2 linked regions of the Tamandua tetradactyla genome follow. The protein of the gene in region 2 binds, or shares a complex with, the protein of the main gene of each other region. Links are inferred from orthologs where the notes say so. Each region holds a gene or a part of one and is shown on either strand. Other genes may lie near its edges. The genes, in order: FGF8 and FGFR2.

Region 1 (15,833 bases), about 21 Mb from region 2:
TGGTCAATTTGCAAGGGGTGGAGAACCCCTGAGGTCCCAGGCTGCAGCATCCTTCTAGAACGCTGCTTGGTCATAGCCTGATCTGATTCCATTTGGCTGAGGCTAGAAGGTAGGGATGGAGGGGGCCTAGTGGGGCGGGAAGGGAGAACACTTGCTCATTTACTTTCTAGTCAAGACCTGGGTAGAATCTGCCACTGGCTAGGAAATGAAAGGCAGGGCCTTGTCCTAGGAATGGGCAAGTAGTCCAGTCCCACTTCAGAGTGGGAACAAGTAGAGAAGCCTGGGGTCCCCCTCCTGGGGAGCAGACCCTGTGAGGGCTTCGTGGAGAGTGCTGCTATCAAGAAGGGAGGAGGGCAGGGGGTGAATCAGGAAGAGGCAAGAAGGGAGAAAGGAGAAGGACTTGCTGCGTGGATCACCTGGGCCTGCACTTGGGTCCTTGGTCAGTGCTGGGTGGTCCAGCCCCTGAGCAGCTCTCAACAGGCCCACAGGGCCCTACTAGCCCGCTCCAAGACAGAGAGCCAGACCCATGAGCTGAGAAAAATTACCTTCCTCCCTTTTCTGGGCCTTGCAACAGCTCCCTGCTTGTTTTCCCCGAAATAAATGGGCTGAGCATATTGGGCCGGCAATAACCCCTTGAAATCAGTTGTTATCACAGTTAACAACCAGTTTGGCTTCAGTTCAGGCTGTTAACTATCAAACCACTAAGTGCTGGTAATGATTGATTCTTGGCCAGTTGCAGCTTGAGTGGGCTGTAAAACCCCATTAGCCCAGGCTCTGTGGAGGCAGCAACTCAAAGATAAACAAGTTGGTGGGTCCCACAGCCCAGCCCTGCCCTACTGCTTCTGTACTCAGCTCCCATGGGTCCCTGGTCTAGGGTCCTGCTGGGAGAACACCCCTTCCCAAAGCCTCAGGCAGCCTGAAGGACCAGACCCCCATCCTCCTGTCTACCTCTACCTCTCCAGGCATCTCTCTCCTCTCTGTAAGTCAGGTCTGACTCTCTGGACAGCCCCCCTCTTCTCCCTAGTGGCATGATCCACCGCCACCACCAGAGATACTCATGCATTGCCAGCCTGGAGGCTTGGGGGTTAGCTCCAGCCTAGCCAGTGGCCAGCCTGGCCCAATTGGTGGCTGGATCACAGGCAGAGAGCCTTACATTCCACCCACCCCCAGACTCCCTCCTACCCTCTGGCTTCCCCCAGGAATTGCTCTCAAACAAATGAAATGTGGGTAATTACTGGGCTGGGGGCTGGACAGGGGCCCGTGCAGATGAAAGCGTTTCCTGGACGGTCTCTTCATTTGCATGGCATCAGAAGCTGCTCAGAAGGTGTGACTTTTCCCACAGTGAGACCCCAGCTTCTTGCACAATAAAGCCAGGCTGCTCACCCAGAATTCATTAAAGGGGGAAGGGAGAGGCTGGGGCAGAGGCAAGGCACTAACAATTGGGGGATCTGGAAGGGGACGTCTAGACTCCATTCCTACATCCCCAGAATCCATGCACTCCCTCCAGGACCCCTCAATGCCACAGCGGGCAGGGAGCTGGGGTGAACAAGCCTAGTGGTTTCCCCAACCTCTCTACTCCAAGGCTTTCCTGAGTTCTGGAACTCCTGATCTGCCTAGGCGGGTTCATCCTGGGACTTGGGACTGCAGCCTCAGGAGGCCTCATGGTTAGGAAGCCTTGGGCTGCCCCCCACCCAAAGGAGCTGCCCAAGAACAGAGGCTCAGACAGACAAGACCTCTGGACTGGCCTAGTAGCTGGACTAGGTCTCTCGGTAAGGTAAGGTCTCCCTCTCACTGTCCCATCCAAATTCTCCCCCTCACCTACAGTGGACCAGTCCATAGCCTGACCTGGTCTGCCCTACTCCGGAGCTGTCCTCCCTCATCTGTCCTTCTGGCATGTGACCTGCTGCTTCTCCTCCAGGCTCTGACGACCGCTCAAGTTCTGCTCTCAGAACTGCTCTCATTCCCGAGGCAGCTTCCGGACCACACTCACGCCTACCAGCTCATTGGCCACACCTGGGCTCAGGGCCTTCTGCTCACAGCTACCTAACCAGAGCGCCCGAAGTTAACAGGTGTTCCGCATTACAATTTTCCACAGCAGCCTGGCAGTGCCCCCTCCTACATAACCCACCTTAGACCCTGGCAGCTGCTCTTTTCTTTCATTTTCTGGAGACTGATACTTGGAAAGAACCAGCCCTGGAATCTCCAACCTGCCTTACAGAGACCTAGGGGAGCACAGAGAAAGGCACTTAAAAAGCTGAACCTATGCTTGCCACATGGGTCCTAACAGGTGCATCCCTCTGGCCTTGAGGTGGCCTGGGGAGGTGTGAGCAGAGATTCCTGCTGAGCTACTAAGTCTGTAGGAGAGCTCCTGGGACCAGCCAGTCAGCCTCTTCTTGCCCCATTCCCTGCTTCTATTCTCCCAGGAAAACCCCTCCATGATGATGCTGGGAATTGGGGACAGCTGACAGCTATGGGCCCTTTAGTCAGGCTGGAAGGAGGCTGTGGTTGGAGCTGGTACCTGATATTCCAGCTGGGGCAGGGCAAGTGATGGGGGAGAGGGAAGTGGGAGCTGACCCCAGCAGGACTCACTCTCACTCTCCAACACAAATTTTTAATACACAAGTTAAATAAATATTTCAGTCATTTAATAGCAACTAGTTACACAACCTCCCTCCACTGACACTGACCCCTAAATGAACTGTCCCGAAGAATCCCAACCCTTTCTGCCCTGCCCCTACTTGGAGGTGCAATGACTCCTTGGCTGCCTGGCCAGCTTGCCCTGAGGTGCAAGAGCGTCTCCGTCTCCGGAGCCCCTCTGCTAGACTCTAAAGAAGCTTCCCTGGTCCCCCCTCCTCCAAGAGCCCCCAGGGCAGGCCACTAACTGGCCTTCATGGCATTAAGAAGACAGACAACTCAGCCAAGTGGAATACAAAAATAGAGCCTCTCTTTTGTTTAAAAACAAAACAAAACAAAAAACCCAACAGCAAACAATTATCAACAACTAGAACCCGGGGCTCCCCGGCTCCTCCCCAGCCTTCAGCAGCGCAGATCTCATCTTGCTTGAGTTTCTCTCTCTTTTTTTTTTTCTTTGCTCCCATCAAGATGAAAGTCTCCGTTGTTCGCAGGGCTGGGGAGGGGCGCGGGGCCGGCGCCTATCGGGGCTCCGGGGCCCAAGTCCTCTGGCTGCCGCGCAGGCTGCGCGTGAAGGGCGGGTAGTTGAGGAACTCGAAGCGCAGGCTCTGCTCGGTGGTGTGGTGGCCGCGCGGCAGCCGCTTCATGAAGTGAACCTCGCGCTGGTGCTGCCGCGTCTTGGAGCCCTTGCGGGGCCGGCCCTTGCGGGTGAAGGCCATGTACCAGCCCTCGTACTTGGCGTTCTGCAGGGCCGTGTAGTTGTTCTCCAGCACGATCTCGGTGAACACGCAGTCCTTGCCTTTGCCGTTGCTCTGCAGGTAGTGGGGGGGGGGGGGGGGAGCAAACGCGGCGTTACTGGGCTCTGCAGCGAGCCCCCCTATCAGAGGCAGAGGGCCAGCGGCCCCGGACAGCAGGTGGGCACCCCAGCAGATGGCGAGGTGGGCAGGAGCCGCGGCCCCACCCCCCTGCCCGGGCACGGGGCTCTCTAATCCCTCACAACCCGCAGCCCACCCGGCAACTTCCTGTGCTCCCGGGCGGCGGTGACACATGGTCGTCTACGCAGGGGCTGGGCCCCGACACGGGGAGGCAGGGAGAGGGGGTCCAGGCGCGCGGCCTGCTCTGGCCCTCTGCCCACCGGTCTGGCCAGAGCTGCTAGGGCCCGTCTCCCCACCTGCCCCGGGCTCCCCTTCAGGAGCTCGGTCGCCTGGCCCCAGGGCCGCCACCCCGTGGGGGAGGGGAGGCCGGCGGAGAGGCTCTGAGCCCACGCCCCGGCAGCCCAGGAAGAGGGGAGCTCGAGGCTGGAGAGGAGCCGTGACTAATGGGGCCATTTCAGAGCTCGGCCGAGGGGCTGGGCCTGCGGCTTACTGAACATTCCAAATGCTGGTACCATGTAATTGGACATAATAGCAAAGCAATTTGGCGATTTGTTAAAAAGATATATGGAATTTACCACCACCACCCCCGCCCCTTCCCTAGCCTTCCTTCTTCCTCTTCAGCCTTTAGAGCTTTTCATCTCTTAAGCAGTCCCTCCCTCACCTCCCCCAGCCCCCCACCCCATCATTAGGTAACCCCAAGGTGGCTCTGTGTCTCTCTGACCACTTTGTTGAGATTAGAGGCAAAAGATGGTCCTGGAGGAGCTCAGCCACCCCAGCCTGCTTGCCAGGTCCCAGGGGCCCCACTTTCCTTCCAGGGCCTCACCTTGGCGATCAGCTTCCCCTTTTTGTTCATGCAGATGTAGAGGCCCGTCTCAGCTCCGCGGACTCGAACCCGGCTCCCAAAGGTATCTGTCTCCACAATGAGCTTTGCTGTCGGAGAAGGTGGGGGCTGGTTATCAGAAGGTCCCTGACCCCCTCCCACCCCCACACTGATCCAGGCCCTCTCTGCAGCCTCACTTACAGACTTGTCATTGCCCAGCAGCTACCGCTCAAAAGGCCAGGCACACGACCCCAGCCCAGCGCAGCCACGAAAATGGGCTGTGCAACCCTGAGAAAGTCAAATCACCTTTCTAAGTCCCCAGCTACCTGCCTCAGCTTACAAGGGGGATTGCACATGATCATGGTTTACAGACTGGGTTCTGCAGAGGGGTCTTGGGGCCAGGAAGGCTGCCTAAGTTCTATTCCTCCCATCCTCTTTTTAAGTCAGACCATCTTGATTTTTATGATGGGGCTCCAAGTAAAATTTAATTTGACCACAGCTCCACTGCTAATCAAAAGATCTCAGAGCTTCCTTCCAACTCAAAATATTACATGTACATGTCTCACAGGTTGTTACAGACATTCTGGGTCCAGTGGCGGCCTCCAGGCCCAAGGACAAATGTAAAAGCACTCTCTCCTGTTCCTGCCACTTCGGTTCTATCTCCTAGCCTTGGCCATCCCATTCCTTGGGCACTTGTGCTCTGCTGGTGGCAGGGGTGGGGACAGGTCTCCCAAGGTCAGCTGCTTTTCCTGAACCTCAGACACTGGCTGGGAGGCTCCTGCCCCTTCCCCACCGCTTCCCAGCCAACACAGTCCCCAGCTCCAGTGTCCAGAAATCAACAACTCAATAGTCTTTTCTCTTGCAACCCCCATCACAGCTGGGCTTCTCACCCCAGTGGCCAACCACCTTCTGTGGACCCCAACAGTGTTTCTGTGGGTGAGGAGGGGAGAAATCAGACATGCTTGCCTCTCAATCTGGAAAGCCAGGAGACTAACCCCTTCTCCAGACACCCAAGTTACCACAGAAGCCCCAGTCCCCACCCACTTTTCTGCACAACTCCCCCCTTTCACACTGTCCCACGAAGGGACTGGGGCCTGAGTTAGCTCTCTGGCATGGGGCAGAAGTGGCTGGGTCTCCTGTCCTTGGTACCACAAAGTCCAGCAACGGCCAGAGCTGCTTTCCAGCCTGCATTGAGACAGTGGTATCTTCTCTTTCCCTGAAACTAATGGGGGAGCGGGCACCTAGGACAGCAAGGCAGCTCCTACCGCCCAGCCTGTAACTTCACCTCCTGTCCCCCTGCCATTCACATGGGCCCAGAGCTGGGACCCAGTGGCCAAGTCCCCAGTCTGGCCCCAAGTCAGCAGGGAAATGCAGCTGTCACTTCCCCTCCCACCCACCTCCTCGTGGACCCAGCCAGTCTGCTCATCCCTCTCCCAGTCTGCCTTCCAGAGCAAGAAATGACTGCTTCTAAGAGCCGAGAAAGGGCAGTGACTGGAGAAGGGACGAGAGAATCCCACTCAGGATTATGGCCCAGCAGGACAAACAGGGACGGGATAAGCCCCCTCTGTTTCTTCCCAGGACTTGCAAAGAAGCAGTTGGGGCCCCTGCTGTCCCCCACACTCCCCCTGTCCTGGCTCCCCACCCAAAGCCTCTGTTCCAACTCTCAGGGCCTCCAGCTCCTACTCCCCACCTGCAGCAGGGGGACCAAGGAACCTGGGAAACCTCCTATTCTTCTAGGGAGAGAAGTGGGCATCAGACTTCTGAAGACTAATTTCCCTGCTGCCAATTTAGCCTCCCCTTCCCTCCTGGAAACCCAGTGATGCTGGCCATTTGCTCCGATGGAGCAAACCCGGGAGAAGCCAGGCACCCGCTTCCTTTCCTTGGAAGCTGAGAAGGGCAGCAAAGCAGCCAGTTTGGAAGGACAAAGGGACTGCAGGCCAGCCCTGCCAGCCCAGCAGGGGAGCTCGGCCACCGGACTGGCCGCCCCCACCCCCACCCCCACCCAAGAGAGCCCCCACTTTCCTTCCTGGATGGATCGGGGGAGCTGGGGCCGCAGTTTACAGCGCCTTTCCCGGCTGGGCTTTTGGAAAGCTTAACATTTTCAAACCTATTCTTCCACCCCAGTGACAGATTTATCCCAGGAAAATTATGTCTCCTTCTCCAGCTTTGAAGGGAAGTCAGCTACGTCGATGCAGAAAAAATGCAGCGAGACATACTCGATCCCCCAAACTGGCTGGAGAAGAGGAGAAAGTATTCAGGAAATGTTAAAAAAGGTGAAAGTAAGAAGAGTTTTAATCGCTCTGCCAGACGCGGGGGTCTCTCCAGAGATTCATAGAGAACAATCTTGAACCTCTTTTTTAACATTTACAGACTTGCAACTCCTTTCAAACTCCACATCTGAAAAAAGACTCGTTCTTTTTCTGTTTTATATCATTCTTCATTTTTCTTCTTAGCTCTTAAAATGCCTCACCTTTTTATTACATTTTAATAGAGTCTTCCCCTCTCCTTTCATGCTTGTTTAACTTGGTCATTATTTAAAGGTTTTTAAACTCACAATAATCGCTCTCTAAAAACAACACCAGCCGCCCAGAGGGCTTGCTTTTCTCTTGGTACATCCAGGGCTCTGGAAATTGGCCCTGTTTCAAGGCAGGAATATTGAATGTTTTAGAAATCAATCAGTCCTCAGCCTCTCCGCCAGCAGTAGCTCCCTGCACTCAGCGCCCCACAGGGAGCCCCGGGCCCTGTCCCAGCAGTCTGGGACCCTGAGCCACTGGAACAGGGAGGGCCCCTTTTCAAGCTGAAAAGAGGAGTAATTGACCCTTCTGGTCCAAGTATTTAGAGATTCACAGCACCCCCTTTTTCCAAGCTAGGAGTATTGGGGAGATTTCTCTCCCTTCTTCTTGCTCTGCTTTTGTGGGCTCTGGCGACATATCCTCTTTCAAGAGCTTCCCTTAAGTCTGGGCCCCCTCCCCCTGCACCCCCTGCCTCCACCTGCAGCTGGGGAGGGCTGTGGGGGGGGGGGGGGGTGTAAGGGGAGATTCCTGGATTCATTCGTCTGCAGGACAGGGAAGGGGGCACCTGTGGGCCAAGTGTTCCCGGAGGCCCCTTCCCCAGGCGACCCTCGGGACACCTTTTGGCCTTAACTCCTTCCCTTCTGAGCTGGGGAGCCTGCAGGCCAGCCAGGGCGCATGCTCCACGAGCTAGCCAGCTAGCTCTCCTTAAGGCGCAGGTGGTGCGCAGGCAGCGCCGCTTACCGAAGGGGTCGCCGTCCTCCGCCATGGCGTTGATGCGCTTGTTGGCCAGGACTTGCACGTGCTTCCCGCTGGTGCGGCTGTAGAGCTGGTAGGTCCGGATGAGGCGGCGGCTGAGCTGATCCGTCACCAGGCTCTGCTCCCTCACATGCTGTGTAAAATTAGGTGAGGACTGAACAGTTACCTTTAGGAAATTGAAAAATACACAACACGCCATTATAATGCTACTCCGCCCAGGGGCCCACGTGCCCCCCCCCCCCCGCCCCTGCGCACTCCCCTTCCACCGCCCCAGGCCGAGGCAAGGGCCCGGCTCCCCAACATCTGGGTTCAAGTCACCTCCCCCTACCCAGGAAAGCCGGGGCAGACCCAGCCCGGGCGGATGAGCTTGGGATGGGGAAGGATCTGGACCCACCTGTTGGAAACACCCTGGGGCTCGCAGCCAGCTCAGAGCAGGGAAGCAAGCTCCCTGCCCGGCGCAGGCCCCTACTGGGGGGCCCTTCTAGGGGAGCAGCTGGGTGCTCCTAAGTAGGGAGGCAGCGCGACTCGCCCGTGACATTTATAAAGACAAATTTACAAAGCAAATGTTGAGCGCGCAGAGGGCCTGGGCACCCGGTCGCTCGGCTCGACCAGCCTAGTCTCCCGCCGAGGGCCATGGCTCAGAGGGTCGCTGCGGCCGTCGCCGGGCCTTCTCCTGACACCTGAACGCCCCCCGGCCGGGGCTGCCCGCTTCCTCAGCGCCCAGGTGTGGCTGCCCGCAGACTTCCCCATCCACTCCAACCTGGCTAGGATGCGTAGGAGACAGCGCTGGACTCGGAAACCCTGGATTCTAGTCTCGCCACTCACTCGCTGTGTGACGTTAGGCAAGGAGCTACCTCTCTGCTCCCTAGCTCCCCTCCTCCGGGTAGCTCGAGGCTGGTTTCTAAGGCTCCTTCCGTCCAGCTCTGCAGCCCTGGCCGCAAGGGCTGTCCTCGGGCCCCTGCCGGACATTGCCAACCGATGACCCCCGCCGGCCCGCCGGGCCCCCGCCTTCGCGCAATGCTCCTTACCTGGGCTTGGAGGCAGAGAACCAGCAAGTGCAACAGCCTGTGGGTGAGAAAAGCGGGCGGGAGAAAGAGAGAGAGAGAGAGAGCGAAGCAGGGTGAGCGAGGTGAGCCGAGAGGGCGCGGCGGGCGCGGGCCGGGCAGGGGCTGCGGGGGCGCGGGCGCTACTTACAAGCAGCTCAGCGCGGAGCGGGGGCTGCCCATGGCGCGCGGCCCCGGGAGCACGGTGAGCCCGGGCGGGATCACGTCGTCCCGCGCGCCGCCGTGGAGGGACGGGCGGATGGTAGCAGCGGCTGAGGGAGGCTGGGGTGCAGGAGACCAGCCGCGATCCCGATGCGGCTCCGCGGGTCCCGTGGAATGTCGCGTTCGCCGCGCCGCGCTGTGCCGCGCTGAGACGCTCTGCGTGGCTGTTGGAGCTGGTGGCCGCAGGCTGTTCAGGAGCCGGAGCAGGCGGGAGGGTAACGGGCCGGCGGAGTGGGTGGGTAGGTGGGAAAGGAGGGGGAGGGGTGGGGGCGGGGGGCGCCGCACCGGGGGCGAGGGGGGAGCGCGGGGCAGGCGGCGGGAGCCCGCAGCCCCCGGCTGGGAGCTGGGGCCGGGACACAGCCCCGGGCGGAGGCGGGGCGGGCCGGGGCGGGGCGGCCGGCGGGTTGGGGATTGGGGGTCTGGGCCAGGGGAGGGGTCTGGGGACCCGCGGGAGGGGTAGGGGCGGCCCATGTGGGCACCTCCCCCCTACCCCCCATCCCAGGTCTGTCCCTTCGCGCGCTCTTCGGGCCTGGACACGCGGGGATGCGGCATGCCTCTAGCCGTCCGCTCCATGGGGCTCCGAGACCCTCGACCCGGGTTTCCTAGACCGCGGGGTCTGCCAGGTCTCCGCCGGGACGTCCGGTCCGCAGATGCCTCTGGCTGCGCGGCCAGTCTCTGAACCACCTACTGTGTGCTCCGGCAGGGCCTGTCCCCTGGGAGCGATGCTGCACGCCCGTCTCTCGGGCAGTGCGTGTGTGTGCAATGGGGGAACCGCTCCTCGCACCCTTCTGCTGAGACCCCGTGAGTCTCGCCTGTCTCGTTCATTGTCTAAGCAAGCCCCACTCGCCCTCCCCCACCCCCCAGCACAGAAGGGGTTGCCCAGAAGTCCCTGGCAGAGGTGCACAGCAGCCGGATACCCAAACCAGCAGGTAGAGGGGACCAAAATAACTGCTTTCAGCTGCTTTTCCTGGGCTGGGCACCCGTTATGCACTGTATCAACTGGAAATTGGTACTAAAGGGGGTAAAGGGGCTTGTCTAACTCTTTCCCTGTCCTCCACCTCATTACTTCCCTCAGGGACTTCTGGAAACCTTGAGGCCCACTGCTTCTGTGGGAGCAGCCAGAGTGGGCAGAGGTGCCCTGGGACAGGTACTTCTGAGGAGCAGGTAAAGCCACAGGTGCCCTGCCCAGTTGCTGCCTTCACCCACGACCTCTCTCTCCCCACTGTCCCCCATGCCCTTGGGAGTAGAGCTGGAGAAGGTGGGGGTAGTCCCAGGAAGCCATTAGATGGCAGAAGTGACTGACAGCTCTTATCCAGTAGCTCAGCCAAATTCTGCCTACCACCCCTTTCACTACCCCACCTTTCCCCACTTCCAGCCATAAATGCAAACACTGAATAATATATAGATGGGAAAACAGAGTCAGAAGGCTTGTCCCAAGTTCTCATCCCTCCTCAGTAGACCCCCTAAGCCCATCTGTTGTCACCCCTGTTCACTCAGCTGGCTCTTGCCTACTAACTTAGAACTTACTCTAGTAGCAAAGAACTGGGCAAAGTTGTTCTACAGTCAGTGTTTGCTGAATGAATGAACAAATGAATGAATGAATGAATGAATAATGGGGAAACTAGCTGTGCTGTTAGACTTCTGCCCATATGCAACTTTCCCAGGGAGGCCTGCCTCCGGCTCCCCCACCCCCACCCCCAATAGAGAATAATTGTAAGCACCATCATTTTTCGAGCATTTATACCTGCTAAAAGTTTGGCATGCTTGCTGTTTGCTCTCATCCTCTCAAACCCTGGGAGAGGGGTCCATCAGGGAGGAGATAGGTCAGGCAGGTTCCAGGTGCTCACGGCCCCAGGCGTCCCTTTTCCTTCGTTGTGCTTTTCAGTGTTTTCAAGGTCTTAGAGGCCTGTGTGGTGACTTGTTAACTGTCTGCCTCCCCTTCTGCACTCTAACGTGAGACCTAAGAGGGCAGGGATGGCATCTGTTTGCTCACCATCTTAATCTTGTATTCTGCACATAGTAGGCCTTCAGAAAGTTTGTATATATACTTTAAACAATATATATTTATTTGTATATATTAATGAATGACTGAATGAATCAATGAGTGGAGTGGATAGAGAGCAGGACTGTGGATACTTCCTGAAAGGAAAGGACCGTCTCCTCACTGTGGACCTAGCTCTCTGAAAATAGTTTGGCGGGAAGAGCAAGAAACAGAATACAGGCAGGGGTTAGGGAGGCCAGTCTGTCCTCAGCATACATGGTCTTGGGGTCCCAGCCAGGACCATTCCAGGCACCTGCTCTTTCCTGAGGTGGGGTCCGGGTAGGACACAGACCAGCCTTCAGAGTACCTGGCACAGACCAGCCTTCAGCCCTGGTTCTCCCCTCCAGAAAAGTCAGAAGAGACCAAGACTGAACCTCAATGATCTTCACTCCCCTCTCCCCCCTCTCCCCCCCCCCCCCCCCCCCCCCCCCCCCCGAGATGGACATCACAGGCTGAAGGGGCTGAGGTCGGGGTTTCAATCCTCCACCTTAACCTCTGCCAAGGGGCCCCTGCAGGACCAGAAATCCTTTACATTTGGAGACTCTCCCACAAACTGGACCCCTGTTCCCATTAATTGTCAATTTGGGGGGCTTCCTCTCATCTCCCCAAAAGTCCCGTTCTGTAGAGACAGATGGGGATACCCCCGCAGCAGGCGCCCGGTTCTGCCCGGGCAGAGCCCCGTGACTGACAGATGCAAATGTTTCGCCGGGGCCCCCGCAGGCCGCTCTCTCCCTCCCTAGTCCGCTCACTCGCTCGCCTCCCGGCCAGCTCGCTCCTTCCTTTATCTTATCAAAGCCCCGTAATTACAATTGCTATTTTGTTTCCTCGAATCTGCAATCAGAGCTCCTGGGCCCTGATGAGGGAGCGCCTGTCAACCTGATCGCTGAGTGACAGCCTGGCCACCTTCCCTGGAGGCCGCCCCCACACTCCGCAAACACAAACACACACACACACTCACTCCCCCACCTTGCCTCCAAACACAAACACACGCTCCTCGCCAACACAAACAGCTCCTCCGCAAACACGCCCTCGCCGGGACCCAAACACATGCCTTCAACCCCTTTCCAAACGCACCCCTCGCCCCCGCCCCACCTCGCCCCCTCTCGCTCCTCAAATCCACACCAGCCGGCGCGGGCGGCCCCGACTGCCGCCCCCACTGCCGCTCGCTGTAAAGCGCGCCTCCTGCGCCCGGCGTTCAAAGCGCCGCGGACTCTGCCCACCGTTCAAATGCAAATCTCCTAAACTGTGTTAAGCACTTCGGGCCCCAGTCGGGAGCCCCCCTGTAGCCCCCAAATATGGGTCAGCAAGCCCCAGCTTGTGCCTTCAGCTCCCAGCGCTCTGAGGCCAAAACGAATTGGCAGCACTCCTACTGTGTGCTGGGGTGGGGGGGATAGAAAAAAGAGGTAGAGGAGAAGCGCGGGACAAGGAGAGAGAAGAAACAAGTCCCAGCTCAGTCCACGGGGAGTCCGATTGGCCGGTGAAACTCCAGAACCGAGAGACAGATGTGGATTGGGCCCCCACTGCGGGCAGGAGCACGCTCGGCGCCGGCCGGAGCCCGGGGAGAGACAGACCAAGCAAACAGTAAGAGAAATACAATGAGCGATCAGCGGCACGGTGGGGGGTAAATATTGGGGCGGAGCTACGCGCCGGGGGTAAATGGGTCTGCTTGGGAGGCTTGCCCATAGAGATTACTTTTCACTGTACTCAAGCCAGACTCCAGTGCTTCCTACCAAGAACCGTGCGAGGAGTTTGGAGGATGGAGCCGGGAGGAGGAAGGGAACTGCTTGAACACTGCCTCCTGATTCCCCTACTCTAAAGCGAGCTCTCTCTCTTCCCAGGAATGAATGAATGGATGAATGAATGAATGACTTAGCCTCAGTGACTCATTCCCTCGCCTTCTGCTTAAAACTTGGAGGCCCGGATCCCTCGCCGGCCACGTATACTCCTGCTCCACCGCCCACCTCCAGAGCCCGAGACTGCGTGCGGAATCGCACTACCACCCGCGACCTATCCGCGGTTCGGCCATGCCCACCAGAGGGCGCTAGCTCCTTCTCCTCTCCCCACGCTTTGTCGTCCAGAGGCGAACGGTTCCGAACGCGCCTCTCTCCTGCTCCAACCTGGCTCCCTGGTGGAAGCACTTCGGGAACTCCTCATGGAGTTGTGAGTAACCTGGAACCCTAATCACCGCTACACAAAGAAAGGGGTCTTCTTTTGTCCTCAAAGGGTGGTTGAAAATTGGATACCCCCCGCACCCCACCCCCTGCACGCTCCTCATCACAAACCGGGGAAAGCATCTCCTTTTCCAGGGATGCATATTGAAAAGGGAATACTTTTCCGTGTAGTGAGGACACTACCTCCTAAATTGACCCCACCTACCCCAATACCCATCCCCCCCCCAATATCTGGGTCCCCTCCCACTTGTCCACTCACTTCTTCCAGCAGTGGATGCAGAGCCTGCCTGGTTCCCACCAGACCTGCTCTCTGTCCATCTTCAGCTTGTCTGGCCCCTGGCTGTCTCAGGAAGTAACCTTTGTTTGTTTGTTGGTGGGGCATTATCGCTCCCCCTACCTTACCCCTCAGCACAGATGCTGAACTGCTGACCCCAGAGCTGGTCAAATATACACTTAGGCTGGCAACCAGGTCTCAGAATTACCTGATTCTGGGAACCAGAGACCCCCAGACTAGGTGATGTGCTGGGGGCAGGAACCCTTTAGCTCAGGAGACAGGTTCCCAGGGGGGCCCTCTGCCCCCATATGCCAGGCCACCCGGATTCTGGTTTCCTTGTCACCCAATCTGGCCAGGCCCCTCCATCTGGCCCTAGGAATCATGTTTCTAAGGGCCCAGGCCAGCTCAGAGACTGCCTGCAAGTCTTGAAGGAGCAAGGACTGGCCCCCACCCGATCCCTCACAGGCCCTCTTGGAGCCTGTGCCCCTTCATGGGGCTAGGGATGCACATTCCTCAGCCAGCTTAAGCCCCCTTATCTGCCCCCCTGCCCATCAGTTTGAGTGCTGACAGAGGCCCAGACCCCTTGTTTGGATGCTGATAACCTCCTGAGTTGGCCCTCCCCCACCTGCAGAGGCTGGGAACAGTCTGGGTGTTGGGAGGTCCCCTTCTAGCAAAGCCTGGGCCCTCGGGATAGCAGGATCCCACATTTCTCCACCCTCTCCCAAGCCCAGGACCACCCTCCGCGCTGCCACAGTGCCACCTGGTGGTCTCCGGGGGAATGTCACTCCAGTCCAGGAAGAAGCCACACAAGTGATCTGCAAAAAGTCCCACAGCACTTTATTCCAATCTTTATCCAAAAATGTAAAAATTGTCAAAAATGTGTAGTTCTGAGCTTCAGCTACTGACCTCCAACACTCATGGGAAGAGGCAGAGAGTGGATTAGGATGGAAATTCAGAGTTCCTCCCATCCCTGGAAAAAGGGGATGTAGGACTAGGGAGAATGGGCCCCTTTCTCTCCTAGCACTGGCCCAAGTTTCCCCTCACCCCAGGCTCCAAACCCTTCTCTTCAATGGAGAAGAAATATTTAAAATTCTTGAGACTTGTCAAGGAACATGGTGCATGGCACATGTAGCAGGTAGATCGCTGACCTGAGGAGAGCAGTCAAGGGGTCAACATCTAGGCTCTCACCTGTTCCTTCTGTCCCCTCCCCAAACCCCAGGCACCATCCCTGAGCTTCTCCCCCACTCACCAAAGAGGACTAGGGCCTGCCCCTCTGCTTCTTGGCAGGCAGGATGGGGTACAACTCAGTCTCCTCCTCATTCTCCTCTTCCACACTCTCCTCCTCCTCAGAAATGTCATTGCTTATAGTAACTGGTAGGCACACAAGCAATAAGTGGACGTGAGGGGAGAGAAAGCTGAAGCCAGAGCACCTTCACATCACGTGTCTTTTACTTGACATTTTTTAATTGTACATCCTGTGGTGCTAGGCTTACAAGGACCCTGATCTCCCAGAGCTTATGGCCTAGATAGGAAGAACCTCAGATACTAAACTGATGAACAAGAGCCATTACTGGAGCTGAAGAAGCTGGGAAGATTTCTTGAAGGAGGTAGGCTTGAGTTGGACAGAAAAGTGTGGAGGACACATCATACAGGGGGCATGGCCTGGGGAGAGGTGGGGTGGGCACATAGGTGGGGCTGCATTAAGAGGTAAAGCTGGAATGGGGCAGACGTATGGGGTTGGGGGAGTCCTGAGAGTAGGCTGGAGGCAGAGAAGGCAAAGGAGTGGGCCTCCCCATACTCTCACCAATCTGGTGTCGCCCAGTGATACGCACAGGGCCAGAGCCAGACTTCAGGCGGAAGGTTACAGGTGGTTGGAGCTGAAAATCATTGAGGCTGAGCTAGGGAAAAAGACAAGGATAAGAGCCTGGCCCACTCCTCCCCCAACTACCTTGTGAGTCCTGAAGCTCAATCCTCCTCCCCTGGGTCTGACTGAGGAACTCACCATGGGTTGGCAAGACAACTTGAGGTTGGCCACAGGGACTGCAATCTCCTCATTGTCATGGTTCCGGGCCACGACTTCCACCACATTAAACTCATCCTTGGCTCCCTCAGTGAGGCAGAGCTGGGAAGGGTACACAGGGCCTCAGCTTCTCCTCAAGGGCTGGTTGACACCACACGTGGAGGAATCCTTGAACTTGCCCAGCCTGATGTTCCTAAATCACCTGGCCAGGGGAGCCGTCCATGGGGGGCTCAATCAGATGAGGCGACTCCCAGTAAAAAGAACATGTATAAAGACCCACCCGGTGCCTGCCCAGGCCCAGCTATTCTCCTACGCCGTCCCCTCCCTCGTCCCCTCCCCTCACCATGGTCAATGCCAGCACATGTTCCGCATCATCCTCTTCCTCTACCTTGAAGGAGCGGGTGCGGCCGGAGAGCTCACAGCCTGGGAGTGATGACAGTGTATGAGTGGGGGGCGGGGGGGGGGTA
Region 2 (15,716 bases):
CCATGGAACACACATACACACACACACACACCATGGAACATACTCACACACCATGGAACACACACACACACCATGGAACACACACATACATCACAGAACACTCAGTCCCAGAGCCAGGACCTCATCTGAAGCTGCCCTAGTCAGCTCTTTCCAGTTGTTACAAACTCCCTTCTCATCTGTAGTGAGATTACCTTCCCTTCAACTTCCTCCCTACCAAAGCAAAATGCCCACGACGGAAAAACTTGTCTCAGGGCCTCAATCAGTGGCCAATACTCGACTAAGAAACAAGGAAAGTAAAGACCCTACTACAGGAAGATGCGCAGCTGCCTGGAAACTCCAAGGGCCTCCTCAGTCAGAAAACAACTTTCTTTTAAACTACCTCCAAAAGCCTGGATGTTTCCTGTACATGGGACTGTAAGGCCCACGTTCCCAGCTCACTTGGAGATGACGATGATGACGATGACGATGATGATGATACGCAGTGGCTGCTTATTGGACACCAGGCCCTGTGCTACCTGTTTTTGTAATCCAGTCTAACCTCTTGGAGGTAGGCTGTCAGAAGACTTCTGAGGGTGTTCATGTTCATTTAATGTAAAAGCTGGAAGAAACCCTAAAAGCTCATTACCAATCCCTCAGATGACAGAAAGGGAAACTGAGGTCTAGGGCTCACATGCTTTTCCAAAGCCTCCTCTTTGCAGGTTTTGCTCCTTCCTCTAAACATTTTTTCACATTACACAACATGGATGCAAATCTCCTAAAACACTATGGACCCCAATAAATACACAAAAGGACACTTGCAAAATATTACCTACAACTTTCGGGAGTTCATGCCCAGCCCCCATCCCAAGTGCATCCACAGAGCCCAAGCTGGCAAGACCCACCACCTGCTTTGAACAATGCTCCCACATTGCTGGACACAAATCTTTACACAAAGAACCATTTGGGGACTCCATCCCTTCCCTCTGTTCTTTCCGTCTCTGCTTCACCTCTCTCCTATGTGTACACATGTATTTTAAACTTTCTTCAATAATTAAATATGGTAAAAGAAACCCTCCAGGGCCATTTTACGCTTTGTGTTGAAATAAACTCACAACGATGCTGCCCTGAAAATTCTAATGGAAAATGACAGTTTTTTCCTAACCTGGCCCATTCCTGAAGCCCACATCGTAAGAAATCCCAGCATAGCTTCCGCCGTTTGTGCTGAGCCATGCACTCAGGGGAAAACCAGCAATTAGGGAAACATCCATTTTAATTATTAGCAAAATTAAAGAAGTACAGGCATGACTTTCAGAAACCAGGAACCTTCTCCCTCACATTCAGTTCTTTAAAAATCCATCACCATGGCAAGATACATTCATCCTCATCATGGCACATGTCCTAAGGAGACAGTTCCACAGGGGTCTGTAGGTGTAGCCTGTAAAAACGTCAAACAAACTCCTACCAGACTCCCTTCCCGAGCTGCGGAAGCCTGGGTGCTGCCACCCCACCTGTTAATTATAAAGCTTCCGTGCCTCTGCGTAATAAACGAAAAGTGCAGCAGTCTCACCCATACGATGGCTTTAGGTGATGAGTGTCGCCATGCAGAAAAAGATCTGTCCTCATCCTTTAATGTCTCACGCATGGGGGTCTTCAGTGGGGGGAGCCCACCAGTCTCAGAGCTCTCAGCAGCCGTGGGAACACAGCCCTCCCTCCCGCTCTGCCCTGGCCATGCTAAGGAGGCGGCACTTTCCCTCCTCTTCCAGCCTGCCCTCCTGGGTCAGCCTGCTGCTCACTCACCCCTGCCCAGGGGGAGTTCCCAGAAGAGGCAGGCTGACCCCAGACCACTCAGGAACGCGGTGGGCTCCCGAAGTCAGGCGAGTACCAGGTGGGCTCTCAGCAAACAGGTTCATTAAGTGGCGATGAGTGCTGGGATCTGCCGTTTGATTCTCGGATTACCACTCGAAAAATAACTCAGCTATCAATATTTCCAACTGATGACAGATTTCAATGCTGCACCAAGTAGAGACTTGGCTAACGTGGTCTCAGAAGGACCTGAGAGTGAGGTTCCAAATCTGCCCAGCTACACAATTCAGTCTCCCTGGGACCTCACGATGGGCCTCAGGCTTTCAAATTAAATTTCCAAAGCTGGAAACACCAACACACACCCTGTTAGATCTGAAAGTTCGAATAGATGTGGGTAATACTGTGGTATCTATATATTCTAATTTACCTAAGTAGAATCTGTGGCTGTGACCACTGCTTAAGTATTAGGAACTATAATAGCTTAAGAAAAAAAAGTCTAATATAATACCAAGCATCTCTGTACCAAACTTCAGAAGCTTCTTTATCTCTTTAGACAATGAAAAGAAAATGTCAGCATGTCAGAGGTTGGCAATTTCTTTTAATGGTTCCTTTTGTCAAAAAAAAAAAAAAAAAAAAGAGCAATTCTTCAGATTCTCCTCCAGCAGGAAGGCTACTGCAGGCAGCTACAGACGGCATTCATCTGCAGACAAGTTCCTTCTCCGCAGCTCTCCTGGGCACCGCTTCCCTCACCCAGCACAGAGAAACACACACATCAAAAAACCACCAAACTACACCATCCTGCCTGCACTGCTGCAGCAAGGAAATCTCTCAGGTAATCTAGGATTTGGGTGGGGGGAGCTGGGGGGTGCTGGTGAAGAGGTCACTCTCAACTGTACTCAGAAGACTCCCGGACAACACAAGGGCAGCCGATTCCAAAGCGGGCCTTAGTCCGTAAATGCCACTTGCAAACGGACAAATCCCCAGACGAACCTGGTACCCTGAAAAGCGAAATGAAATGACTGACCTTCCGGCTCGAAGGTGGTATCCTCAACTAAATTGAAGGAGGGCCGGGCCAGGGAAACGGTTGCCATGGTGACCACGGCCAGGCAGACCAAGCGACCCCAGCTGACCATGGCCACGGTGCCGAGCCCCGGTCCTCTTCCGTATCTCCATGTGGACGTCAATCCCATCTGCACCCGGCCTCTGCGGGCATGGACCGCCAGCGACGCCTTCGGCCCGCGGGGGGCTCCGGAACCAGGCGGCGGCCGCTGCTGCTGCGACCACTAGAGGAAAGAGACGCGGCGAGTCAGTGAAATCTTCCCCAGAGCCAGTTCACTTAAACCCGAGGGGGCTCAAACAGGGTTTCCCAGAGCCTCTCGAACATGTGAAAACTAAGTCATTTTTCATTATCTGCAAATGCCTCCTGGCTTCAGGTTCCCCAGGTGTTTCCACAAGCCCCCTGGGCAAAATGCCTTAAGCTGGTCTTTCAAAAAACATCAGATAAAAAAGGACAGGCGGCCACTCCCGTCAGGTAAAATGTGCTTCCTTCACTGTCCACTATCACCTCTATCGCCCTCAAAACGCAGAAGCAATGTGACCTTAGTTTCAAGGGCAACTACAAAAGCAGGTTAAAAATGCTGGGGCTGCAGAAGCGGCCTCGTTAACTTCTCTCGGTCTGACCAGGCTTTCGAAAGCCGAGCCCACCAGGCACCTGCTTAGACCTGGGTGTTTCTGCTGGGCTGCAGCTCAGAGCTCTGACCCCCTCAGGGTGGTGCCCAGGAGGAAAGGAGACCAGAAAAAAAAAAAAAAAAAAGCTCATCCCAGGAAGGCTGCAAAAAAAAAAAAAAAAATTCCCACCAATGTACACTTGTCAGGATTCATTTTCAAATGTGCAAGTGTATTTCAATCCCTCGCCAAACAGCCTCTTAGGAAGAATGAAAGGAACTGCAATCAATACATTCAAAGCAGCCGATCCAAAATGGGATTCGAAGACCGAATCCCCTTCCACTAGCCTCAGGCCTAGTACACAGTTAAGAAACAGAGCAGATGCAAACTCCGGTTTCCAGGTGAATAATGGGAGAGTTTATTTAAAATGATGATGATGATATGCAAATTATTGGCATGTATGTGATTGGGGCAGTATCTTTCAATATGCTAACCACTGGCTAAAATTACAGAGTAGAGTTCCAAGGGGGCGCTCAACTTAGTATTTTTGTTCACCCACTTGTTCCAAGTTTTTAAAAGGCGAAGACAAATTTCAAAGCGAACTTAAAATATTCCAGATAACTTTAAGTTCGTTCGATATCCTCAATGACTAAGTGTACAGTCGAAATGCATGAACTTTGGAGAATCTGATTAAAACCATCACAAAGAAAGGGTACAATAACCTCAGTCTGCAAATTCCATGAACTGCGTGAATTAATTTCATTTTATAAGACTGGGGTGGGGGTGGCTTGTAATATAAAATTCCTAAACCATAAAATCACTAAACCTCGTGCCTTGCCCCGTGTTACATGCTGACTTAATGCTTCAAGTTATGACACAGAATTTCAACACTGCCTGAGCATTTCCCAAAGCTACACCATAGAAACTGCTCCTTTTAGCCTTGACTGAGGATTAAAACTGGGTGAGGGCAAAGAGGATGGCACACAATGTCCAAAGGGAGTGGGGGATAAAGAAAACCTCTGCTTCAAAGAAAATACGTATGAAACAGGAATTTACAGGAAAAGCAAGAAAAGTGTACGTACACGCTGTGTTTTCAGATCCTTGAAGGATATTTCTTTCCTCTTAAAGCCTCAAAAGATAATTCTGTGTCTATTTCTACATACATGTGGGAGGAAAGAATGCAAACATTCTCACCAATTTACTGATCAATTGCAGAGTACATGAGAATTTCCTCTTCCAATGCAACTTTATGAACAGCTTTAACTCCTAACAGGAGATTGCACCTCAACCCACCCTACCCCTAACCCTGCGCCTTCCCAAAAGAGCCTCCTTAGCCCTGGGGGGGAGGAGGAGTGGACAGTGCCCCAGGTCAAACCTGAACTCACGACTCACTCGCCCACCAGTTTCCACCAGAAATCCAAACTGCGGCATTTCCAGGTCCGGGCCCCGCAGCTGGCTGTCCCCACCTCTCAGGACGGCTGGGCCCTTAGGCGGCAGGTTCCCGCAGCCCCTCACCGGAGTGGACAGAGTATGGCACGACCTCCTAGGCAGGATAATTAGGTCCCGAGGCTTGGTGTTGGGAACACAGGCCCAGCATGCCGCTGGCTGCCACAATCCCGGCTTCCTGCCTACAATACCGTAATCCTTCCTGGAGTCTGAGCCCCAGTGAAAGCCCCAGCGTGTTTATTTTTCCCCTTGAAAGGGAACTCTATTCTCAGCCTGCGCGGGAGGAGTTGTCACCCTCCCTCTGATGGATGGCTCTTCACTGCCACCCGCTCCCCTAGTCCGTTTTCACCTCTGCACAAGCTTGACCCCAAAAGACAGGCAAACTGACCTGCAGTGAGAAACGGGCTGGGGAGAGGTCCCCGGTGGGCCTGCAGCTCCAGTTCAACTTCCCACAATCCCAAGCCCTCCACCCCCAGAAGGAGGGCCAATGCCAGGGGCCGGCGTTCTCTGGGCTTCCACCTAAAGGACCTAAGTGACCTAACTGACCTGTCCACCACTGGCAGTCCCCTTGCTGAGCAACTCGGGTGCTTTGTTCAGGGGAGCCGTCTCACCTGGAAAATGAACACTGCCCCACCAGGGTGGGGGCCCGCACCCCCAGAGGAAGACCCATTCCCTAGTGTAAGTCTCAGCACTGCCCTCCTTTCCCTCCAGAGCTGAGAACGGGAGGACGCTGGGTAAGGTGTAACATCTGCAGACATGGAACAGGGAGAGGGAATTCCTCAACACACAACACTGAAATCTCAAAAACAAAATATACAGGCTGATACACGGCAGCAATCTTCTCCCTGCAAGACAGTGAGAACTGGCTGGCAGCTTCGGGGTGCGCACCACCGACACCCCGGTTCATGGTAGCATTTCTTTCATTTGTTTGCCTGGAATATCCTGTTTTTTCTCCCCCCTTTCTCCGCAGCTAAAGAGCTCAGAGAAATCTGCATTTTAATTGACATTCCAGGGAGAGGGAGAGGGGCGCCTGATTGCTTTTCTATTCAAACTAAACAGGCTTTTCAGATGAAAATGAGTCGAGGCTGGTGGAAGATTTACAGGGATTTGGGACCCGGGGGGGACAATGGGGTTTTAAATGTTGATAGCGTTTCACACCAAACACATAATGAGAGCCTCGGGTTTGAAAGCAGCTTCGGCTTTAAGGGTCGGTTTTAGAGATCTGGCCCAGAGGAAGGAAGACCCCGGGAAGGGTTCGCCCGGGAGCCGGCTGCGGGGGGGGCGCGGGGAAGGCTCGTGGTCCCGCGCGCCCGAGTCCCTTGCGCAGGGCGCCGGCCCGCGCCTCGCGGAGCCCTGGGCTGGACTCCCCAGCGCGGCCCGACCGCTGAAAGAATGAGCGCGCAAGTTAAAACTCGCCTGCGCTTTCGACATCTCCGCGCGGCTGCAGGCGAACTAGAAAAAGTCGGTCCAGTCCGCCCCCTAGCCCCGGGCGCGCTGCGCTCCCTCCCAGCCCTCATCCGTACACCCGAGGCACCAGCGCCGGCGGCGGCTGCGGCCGAGGGGGGCCCGGCACCAAGATCGCGGAACCGGAGTAGCCCCCGCCCCTTATCCTGAGGTGCTCCTCAGCCGAGGCATCGCCATCACCTCGGGGAAGTGGCAGCCCCACCCCAGCGGCGCCCTCCCAGGGAACGGGTCCCTTGCCTGAATCTGGATGGGACAGGGAGGGCGCTCCCCAAGCCTTGCGGTGAGGGTCTCCGAAGATGCCCCTCCAGGCCCCCTGGACCGTGCCCCCAGAAAGGCGGCCCCGCCGCCCGCCCATCCCACACGCCCTCTCTGCGGTCGGAGGAACCCACCCGGCCGGCGGGACTGAGCCCGCGGGAGACTGACACGGGGGGGCGATGTCAACGCCAGCGGTAGATGCCAACCCTTTGGGTGGGGGTGCTGGAGACAGAAGTTCGCAAACGCCGGCCGTGAGCACGTAACCTCCTTCCCCATCATCTGGGCAGCCAGAGGTGGGACAGGGGACGCCCTCCCCAACGCCAGGTCTCCCGCACCCTCCTCCGGGGGTCAGTGCACCCGACGCCCCGGGCTCCCACGGCGCCCACTTTCCCCGCTGGCGAGGCTGCCCGGGTGCCCCGCTCCGCGATTACCTTGAATGGCCACGCTCCTCCTTCGCGATCTGCTCGTTCCCCGCGGCCGAAGTGGGTCGGGACGGAGCAAACGACGAGCTCGGGGACCCCTCAGGGGAAATTCCAAAAACAAAGTCGTCCTCGGGTCCTCGCCGGCGTCAAAGCTCCCAGGCTTCAGGCGCACCCCAGGCTGCGGAAGAGGACGGGCATGACGCCCGCGGGCTGCCCTCGGATTTGGGGAGCGAGAGGAAGAAAGGACTCGGGCTTGGCGTCTCCTCGACCAAACTTTGCTCGCCACTCGCGAACAGTCAGAACGCGCAGGAAAGCTGCGGCCTCGAGTCCCCGGGGCTCGCGTCCGGGCCCCGCCAGCCTGAAACCGAGTCGCCGCGCTGGGCCAGGTACGCCGCCCGCAGAACCCCCGGCGCCCCGAGCTTTGTGCGGCCGCCGCGCTCGCCCGCCAGCCAGCCCGGCCGCCCGGCTCGGCTCTCCACGGCGCTCTCCGCTGCCACCTCCGCCCGCCGCCGCCGCCGCCGCCTCCTCCGGCGGGTCACGCCCCCCGCTGAAACCCGAGCCGTTTCCTGGACGGCGGCGTCCGCTCTGCCAATCAGCGCCGCTCTACCCGGCCGCCCCGAGCCCCGCGCCCCGCGCTGCGCCCGACGCCTGCCAGCGGCCCGCAGACCCCGGCCGGGAAGGCGAGGGACGCGGCCACGAGCTGCACGGAGAACTGCTACAATACGCCCCATTAATAAGGCCTGACTCCCGCGCCCTGCGCCCTCTCCTCCTTCCTTCCCTCGGGAGTTAAAGTGCCCAACGGTTTGCTTGTCGGGGGGGGGGGGGGTTCATTAAGTATTATTGCACACCAGACAACAAATGGCACAATGCCTGCTCTGCCCCTAAATGGACTTGAAAATGGGACTATCGGGGGTGGAAGTTTAGTGCAACTGAAACTTTTGGAGGAAACAACTTGAAACTGTTTGCAGGGCGTTGCATTTCTGTCCTTCAAAACAATAGAAGAAACTGATATTTGTGGAGACCCTACTGTGTGCCAGGCACATAGTGGGTTAGTAGGTTATCTTATTTAATCTGCACAACCACCCAGCATAGTAGTATGCCCAGTTTCTGATGAGGAAACATGGGTCAGAGAGGTTAAGTAATTTGCCCAGGGACACACAGCTGGTTACTGGCAGAGCCTGACTTTGAATCTGGCGCTATTTTAAAAAGTGGGAAAACTGCACCGAAGCATTTGTTGCTTAGTAATGTACATTTGGATTAGTGAAAATAATTTAAAAGTTTCTAAAGACTGAACTCTGCCATAAGTGACTATATGACCTTGAACAATTTAATTCCTTCTCTGTACTTAAATTCAACTGCAAAATCAGATTGTTCAGATACCAAGCAGTTACTCATTAAAGTTCATATTTTCCATTTGCCTCTTTCACTAGGCTATGTCTTCAGAATAATTCATTTTCTATTATACTTTCCGTCCCTCCTCACTCATCCAGCTTCTAAGCAGTCGAGCTCCAGTTCAATACACTGTAGATAAAACCTCAATTATATTTCTTTAGAAAAGGTCATTAAACCAAGAGGTGTTTTAGAATGCTTTTGAGGCCTAAAGATAGATAATAACAAACTGACCTGGAAAATCGACTGTTCTTGCACGTAAAAATGCAAAAATGTCACTAACATCACATACTTCACAACATTAGCAAAAATAGTTTTTCAAGGTGCCATATCATTCGAATATCATTTTTATTCACAATACATCATAGAAAACTTTTACATAAATTTCTTAAAAGCCAGGAGTAATGAGTCCGTTTAAATGCTACAGGCAAAGAGCTATGGAATGATATTTTGGAAATTTATCAGTAAAAATAGTAGTCTGACTCTCAAGCAAAATGATCATGCTTGATGGGCGGGGTATATTTTTGGTAACGCTCTCTATCCTGGGTCAGTTCTAGAAGCTTTTCACGACCAAGACTGCAGAGCCATGCGTCACTGACCACACCAATGCATTTTCAGCTTCTCAGACCTGGAATCACAAAAGAGATGGGGCTGAATACATGCTTACTGGGAGCTGGCACTTATATCTTTCTATTCCCCGCCAATGGGAAACTCGAGTGTCTCGGACAGATTCCTTTCCCATCCTGCAACACAGCCATCAGCCATTGAAAATGCTGTTAACACATTCTCACATAAATTAATGGTGCAGGAAGCCTAGTACCTATCCCCATTCATCACTAGCTTTATGTACGCTGAATGGAAAGGAAGCCTTCCGCTGAAAATGACAAATAAGAACACCTACTTTAATGTCCAGGTCCAGTTTTCAGAATTTATTCTTTATAGGGATGAAAGGACACCAATCCATCAAAGCCCCTTATTCTCCTGAGAGCGCTCATTTTTAAGTGTGCGGAGCTCGCAATGGCAAACTCTTCAGTTTTGAGAAAAGCAAAAGCATGTTTGGAATTTTTTTTTTTAAATCAATTCTGTCATCATATTTAGGCTTCAAGTGACCTCAGAGGGTCCAGGCAAGCTTTCACACCAGCGAGGCTTCTGAATGAGAAAATAATCTCTTTACAGTTTTTTTTTTTCTCTTCCCTCTTCAAGTGGCTGGAACCCCTTTTGTCAATGGCCTCCCGTGAATGGTGTTGCTAATAAGCCTATTAATGAGCTTGCACGGCCGAGTGTGAATAGGTAAATAAGCCCCAATCTGTTGAGGTTCAGGGGCGAGGGCAGAAAACCATCAAGAACTAAAGGTGACAGTTTGAACTGAACTACGAACGCCCGGCACCAGGTTTCAGCTGAAAGAACGGCCAGACAAGGCCACATTCACAACCCCTCCACCCCCTGCCGAGGCCCCTTTTCTTCACAATTTTCCCCCCTTTACAAAATGTCTTGAGTAGGCACCCTTTTTTTTTTTTTCAAAAGCCCTCGAGAAGCCCTTCTTTTTTTCACCGTAGTAATGATACATCAATGGGAAGGAAGGAAAATGAGGATACCAGAACTCCAATGCCCCATAAGTTTCAAGAAGCCAATTGTGCTTCTAGCCCACTGGTGAAGAGAAGAGAAAAGAAGGAAGGGGGTGGGGAACTTTGCTGCCACGGGCTCCTCTGCTTTAATGATTCGGATTTTTTCTTTTAATAATTTGTTTGTTAATGGGTGGCTATCCCTACACCCTATAGGAAAGTTAGATGAATAAAAGCAACTGACATTGAAATGCTAACGTCCGAGCATTTGGACGTGGCAAAACTAGGGACTGCATTCTTCCAAGTACCTCTCAGCTGTGTGCACTGGCATCCCTGGCATGGAAGATGCAGAGAGGAGGGATATAGGATTGCCAGGACTTCCCTCTGGAAGAGGGAAGGGGCCAGATCCCAGAAGGCACAGGCCATTTCCAGGAAGCTTGTGACATGTAACCGAGGCAAAAACATCAATTCCACCACTGAACATCAGTGAGCCTAAACCTAGAACTGTACCTGAATCAAAGCCAAAACTTCCCTGGAGAGAAAGTCCTCCTGGATGAATCTCGCTTTGAGTCAAGAGGGCATTGCTTCCTTAAGGTGAGAGGCTTCAAGGCTCCAGACACTCTAGCTCTGTGACTTTGGGCAACTTGCTGAAGTCCTCTGAGCCTTCCATTTTCTCACCCATAAAGTGAGGACACTGATAGTACCTAGCTCATAGGGTTACTAAAGGATTAAATGAGTTAGGAGGTGACAAACACTTAAAGCAGAGCCTAGCACTTACTATCATTATCCCCACTTCCCAGGACCATGAAAGGAAAATGCTTAAGTGAAAGGCCTGTTAGCACCATAATTCCTGGTTGGTATTTTGCAGTCACCTTTACTGCTGCATCCCACAGCAAAAGGCCTGGGGTGCCCAGCAGAGGCCCACCTGAGGTTGCGTCCTAGGAAGGCGGTCTGAGTCATCTGAATGGATGTCTAAGGAGGTAGCACCAGAGAAGCCATGCAGCCATGGCCAAACACAGTTAAGGCATTACATCGGGTATCCTCTGCTCCCCAGAGCAGTCCTGGGGCTGGTGATGAGGACAGAGCAGGTCATGCTGAGAATATGCTTTTCACACTGGTGAACATAGTTAGCACCAAAGGAAGAGCTTCCTTAAAACTGCGAGGAACATCTGAACAGAAAGGGCCACTATGGCCCATGCTGACAGCTCACTAGCTTTCCAAGGGACCTGAGTGACACAGGGAGGTCTTCAGAAGGAGATGGGTCCCACCATGAGGAAGTGTGTGTTGAATCCTAAAGACCGTTTGATTTGTCCCCTACATTTTACAGGGAAGAGAGCAGGGCACAGAGAGAAGTGAGGGGCACCAGGCCACCCACTAGTTAATGGCAGGGGACCCAGGAGTCTGGTCTGCTGACCAAGCTGGGGTTTATTCCAGAGGCCACCAGGGCAAGCCAAACACTCTCACCCATGCCGGGGGTGGGGGTGGTTGGCTCTTTCTAGGTTCAACTCTGTGTGGAACTGAGATATTTGAGTAGAATTCTTGGCCTCCAAAAATGTTAATATTTCCAGAACACAACTACTCAGTCACAGTCAATTCAGCCTACATTTGTCTCTTTAGGTGCTGCGAAAAGAATTCAAGTTAGAACTTGTGGTGGATGGAACTGTGTGCTCTAGTGTGGATATGTTCTTAGTCTTGGCTGGCATTAGGGTGGGTTGGGACCCATTGTGAATAAGAGGTCTTCAAGATGTTACTTGAGTTAAGGTGGGGCCCCACTGGATCAGGGGCAGCTTTAATGAGGATTGCTGGAGTCCTTTATAAACAGAGTAAAAAGTCAGAGGGACCGAGACGCCACAGGGAACAGAAGCCAGAAGCCGACAGAACCCAGAGGAAAAAGGAAAAGACATCGCCATGTGCACTGGCATGTGACGGAAAAGCCAAGGAACCCCAAAGACTGCCAGGCAGAAGACACCTTCTAGCCAATAGATTCCTTTTGGTAAACCAACCCACTGTATGGTATTTGTTTTAGCAGCTAGGAAACTGAAACAGAGTTATTATTGTTCATGTTTCAAAGAACCTTCAGGTTCAGGAGCATAAAATTGTTAGACCCCTCTTTTTCACACCTACAATTTCATCAGCTAAATTTTCATAGCTTTCAAAATAGTGCAAGAATTAACAGCCCACACTCATGGATCACAGAATGATTCTTATCAATGGTATTGTAAAAGTAAATGGAAATAGGATATTCTTAAAAACTCCTAAGGTTTCATTTAACAATTACCATCAGACCTGTTTTTCTGTTTGTTTTAATGCAATGGATGGACATAGCCAGAGGCAGTATAGGAAACTCAATTGCATCCTGATTCATAAAAAGCAAAATCCCTATAAAAGATAGTGTTTGAGGGAGAGGGGGTGGATGTGCAAGGGTAGTTGGAAAACATTTTACATGGACTGGATATTATCAGAGATTGCTGTTAATTTATTGATGTAAGATCATGACACTTTGGTTTTGTAGGAAACCAAATCCCTGTCAAAACACTTAATTTAATTTCAAGTGGTTCAGAAAAAAAAGGCAGAAACACTTAGATAAAGCACATCAGGCAAAATGTTAACTGTTGAAACTAGGTGGTGGGTGTTGCATTATTCTTTGAACTTTTTCAAATGTTTGAATAATTTCATAAAAGAAAAAAAAGTTGGGGGAAACCCCGCTGGCACGCAACAGCGTGGACTCAGCCTCACCGCTGCCCCCTCGCTCCGCCTCCTCTCACGGCCATGGCGCCAGTTCTGCGCTTTGGCACTTGGCATCTGCCAACCTGAACAGATCAAGGAAAACTGATCAGTCAATTCCCTGGTTGGCCAGAATGGCCAGATGGCATGTCTTTAAGCTTTAAAAATACATTTATCTATGATCTCCAACACTCCCCACCCCCACCATCTCTGAACAGTCCCTGCCTCCCTGGCATGGTCTAAAGAAGCTGTGAAGTTGTCATTCACCCATCAAGTTGTCATTCACCCATCACTGAGTGGTGTACCTGGTGCTACAGGAAGCCACCGTCTACTTTCAAGTACTCTGAAACCATAGCCTAGGCTCTCTGCTATTGACCCCTCAGCTCCCGGTAACGGGATCTACCGGAAAAGTCCTCTCATCCCCGGCCTGTTGCTGTTTAAGGCAATTTATGGCATGTCACTGCTGGCCTCCAGGACTCCCCCGCCCCCACCCTCCACGACTCGGCCTCCCAGCAGGCTGCAGAGAAAATAGGCACATGGTTTTAGCCAGCGTGGGGGCAATTTGGGCAGAGGTTAAGGATGAGGGATGACCTTCCACTGTACCCCTGCTTCCCACCCCATCACCATCACTGCCTGGACCTGCGCTATCCAACTCAGGTCCAACGCCACCAGCCAGTGAGACTATTTAAATTTAAGTTAGTCAAGATTAGATATAATCTCAGGTTCTCAGTCATACCAGCTGCATTTCTAGTATGACACCCACACGTGGCTGCTGCATTGGACAGCGCAGACGGAAGATTTTCGCCGCCACAGCGTTCTCTTGGACGGCGCTGCAGAGTGCCCCCCACCCCCACCCGCCTTCCTCTTCTTTCCAACTAGCCAGGCTCAATGCATTCCTCCCCCAGAACCCCCTCAAACAGAGGAGTCCAGGGGCTGCCCCTGCCTCCTGCCCCCAACGCCCATTTTCTCACCATCTCTGACCGCTCCAAGGCCGCTCCCAGTGCTTACTGCGGAGGGAGAAGAGAGACCAGCCCAGGGGGACACTGCAGATGCATTGACAGATCTTTAACAAATGCAACATTTAGCCTTCCTCAAATGAACCAATTCAGCGACTCAGCCTGCCGCATCACCTTCTGAGTCTGGGGCCTACTTGATGCAGCTCCCCTGTTCTCTGTGGAAATCTCCGTTGGCTCTGAATTCATCTCGGGGGGGATTTCAGTCGCCTCGGGAACACTCAGCCAGGCTCCTGAACCCACTGAGAGAAAGGCAGGCATGGCCCTGGAGAAAACCCAGTATAAAATGACCTTGGGGGAAGGATTAATTGGGGGGGATGTTAAATGTTAACACCCAGGAAGTCCCCACCTGTGTCTCCCACTCCTGGATGCCCGAGACCTGGCACATGCTTGGCAGTTTATTGATCTGCATTTGTATATAACAGGCCATATCTGTTGATTGACAAATTGTAACTTAGCATCATTAGAGGTTTTCTACTTCAAGGGTTAGTGCAAGGCAGCACATTATTCCTAGGAATTTTTGTTTTAACTTTTTAAATTGTATAATATAACCTATCTACAAAGCATAGAAAGAAAAAAGTAGTAGTTTTCAAAGCGCTCTTCAATAAGTAGTTATATGACAGATCCCAGAGATCCCAGTTTGTCATGGGCTACCATGCCATCCTCTCACATATTTCCTTCTAGCTGCTCCAAGAATATAGGAGACTAGAAGGAATAAATATTTTTTTATCATCACAATCTACTTTTCTTTTTCCTTTTTTGTGAAAAATAACATATATACAAAAAAAGCAATAAATTTCAAAGCACAGCACAACAATTAGTTGTAGAACAGATTTCAGAGTTTGGGATGAGTTACAATTCCTCAATTTTAGGTTTTTACTTCTACTCTGTGGGGTAGGGAGATGGAACTAGCTGATGTTCTGGAGAGGCTGGGACCATTAGGTTTCAGGGCTTACCTGGCCCAGGGACCCATCTTATTCCTAGCATTTTGTCCACCATTGATGAGGGGCATTTAGAAGCTAGGGGGAAAGGCCATTCTTGGGCAGGACCGACTTGGTTACTTTTCCCTGCAATGCCTTGTTTTCCCCCCTCTCTGCTCTTAGTTTCTGTCCTTGTTCTGTTACTAATTCCCGAGTGTGTGTCTACTTCGACCAAAACATGAGTTCACTTTAATAAACCTAAGGGGAGGGAAAACGATGCTGCCAGCATCCTGGTCAACTCGGGGAAGGAGTCGGAGAAAACTGAACAGGACAAATCGTAAAACCACAAACCCAGTAAGCCTTTTAGAGTCCCAGCGCTCCTGTATTCTGTCCCCAAGCTAGAGAGAAAGGCCACGGCAGGAGGGGTTGGGGGAGGAGGGAATTTCTTTAACAGATTTCTAAGAGCAGCGCTGAGCAAAAATTAACTCCTTCGCGGGGTCCGGATTCAGGCCTGGCCGCCCGGGACGCAGGTGGCTCCAGGTGAGGGCGGCGGAGCCCGGGGCTCCTTTGTTCTCTGGGCTCTGAGCAGGGAGGCGTGGGCGGCGGGCGCCAGCGCCCCCGTGTGGCCGCGGCCGTTCCTGCGCGCGCAAAAGGCGGGTGGAGAGCGCGTCCCGCCCGCCCCCAGCCTCAGCCCCGAAGCCCTTCTGGCAGTGCAGGTGATGAGCGACGAGGTTGAGGTGTGTCTACTGCAGATCCCAGGTGCTGGCTGAGACACAGCTGGACGGATCTTGCCCCAGCAGCTGGAGCAGCGGCAGTTTGGGGCTCCACATCCTGCCAGACGGGGTGTGAAGTGGGAGCGGCCTCCAGCCGAGCTTGGCGCTCCTGCCTGGTGCTTCCATCCTGTCCACAGCCAAGCATCCTCCCTGAAACGTGGGCCCCTCATTTCCAGCTTGTGTTGGCATCTCTCCAACTGGGTCGACAAACAAGACTGAGAACCACCTTTGCACCCTCACCCCTAAACTGGCTTCCACTTTCTGCCCTCCACTCCATTTGGACTTCTGGCCCCATTTCCTC

What was found.
Region 1: the proteins of FGFR2 (region 2) and FGF8 are in contact, whole or in part, in a crystal structure (PDB 2FDB), measured with the Homo sapiens proteins. The link is inferred for Tamandua tetradactyla from reciprocal best matches to the Homo sapiens genes FGFR2 and FGF8. Residues at the interface, in NP_000132.3 of Homo sapiens: Glu160, Lys161, Glu163, Lys164, Leu166, His167, Ala168, Val169, Pro170, Asn173, Asp247, Val249, Arg251, Ser252, Ser282, Asp283, Ala284, Gln285, Pro286, His287, Ile288, Gln289, Ile291, His293, Leu309, Val311, Leu312, Lys313, Ala314, Ala315; in NP_149354.1 of Homo sapiens: His53, Val54, Gln57, Asp62, Leu64, Ser65, Arg66, Leu68, Ile69, Arg70, Tyr72, Tyr75, Arg77, Gly80, His82, Val106, Glu107, Thr108, Thr110, Phe111, Gly112, Ser113, Val115, Thr148, Glu149, Ile150, Val151, Leu152, Glu153, Asn154.

The regions. Positions count from the first base shown.
Region 1 is NC_135339.1:63,454,449-63,470,281, forward strand, and holds FGF8 (fibroblast growth factor 8), read right to left. Parts: upstream 8,822-15,833; coding exon 8,790-8,821; intron 8,661-8,789; coding exon 8,624-8,660; intron 7,762-8,623; coding exon 7,581-7,761; intron 6,822-7,580; exon of another isoform or gene 6,451-6,821; intron 4,437-6,450; coding exon 4,330-4,436; intron 3,444-4,329; coding exon 3,153-3,443; downstream 1-3,152. UniProt on the Homo sapiens protein: Plays an important role in the regulation of embryonic development, cell proliferation, cell differentiation and cell migration. Required for normal brain, eye, ear and limb development during embryogenesis.
Region 2 is NC_135339.1:84,187,425-84,203,140, forward strand, and holds the start of FGFR2 (fibroblast growth factor receptor 2), read right to left. Parts: upstream 7,455-15,716; 5' UTR 7,044-7,454; intron 4,719-7,043; exon of another isoform or gene 3,740-4,718; intron 3,066-3,739; 5' UTR 2,973-3,065; coding exon 2,807-2,972; intron 1-2,806. UniProt on the Homo sapiens protein: Tyrosine-protein kinase that acts as a cell-surface receptor for fibroblast growth factors and plays an essential role in the regulation of cell proliferation, differentiation, migration and apoptosis, and in the regulation of embryonic development.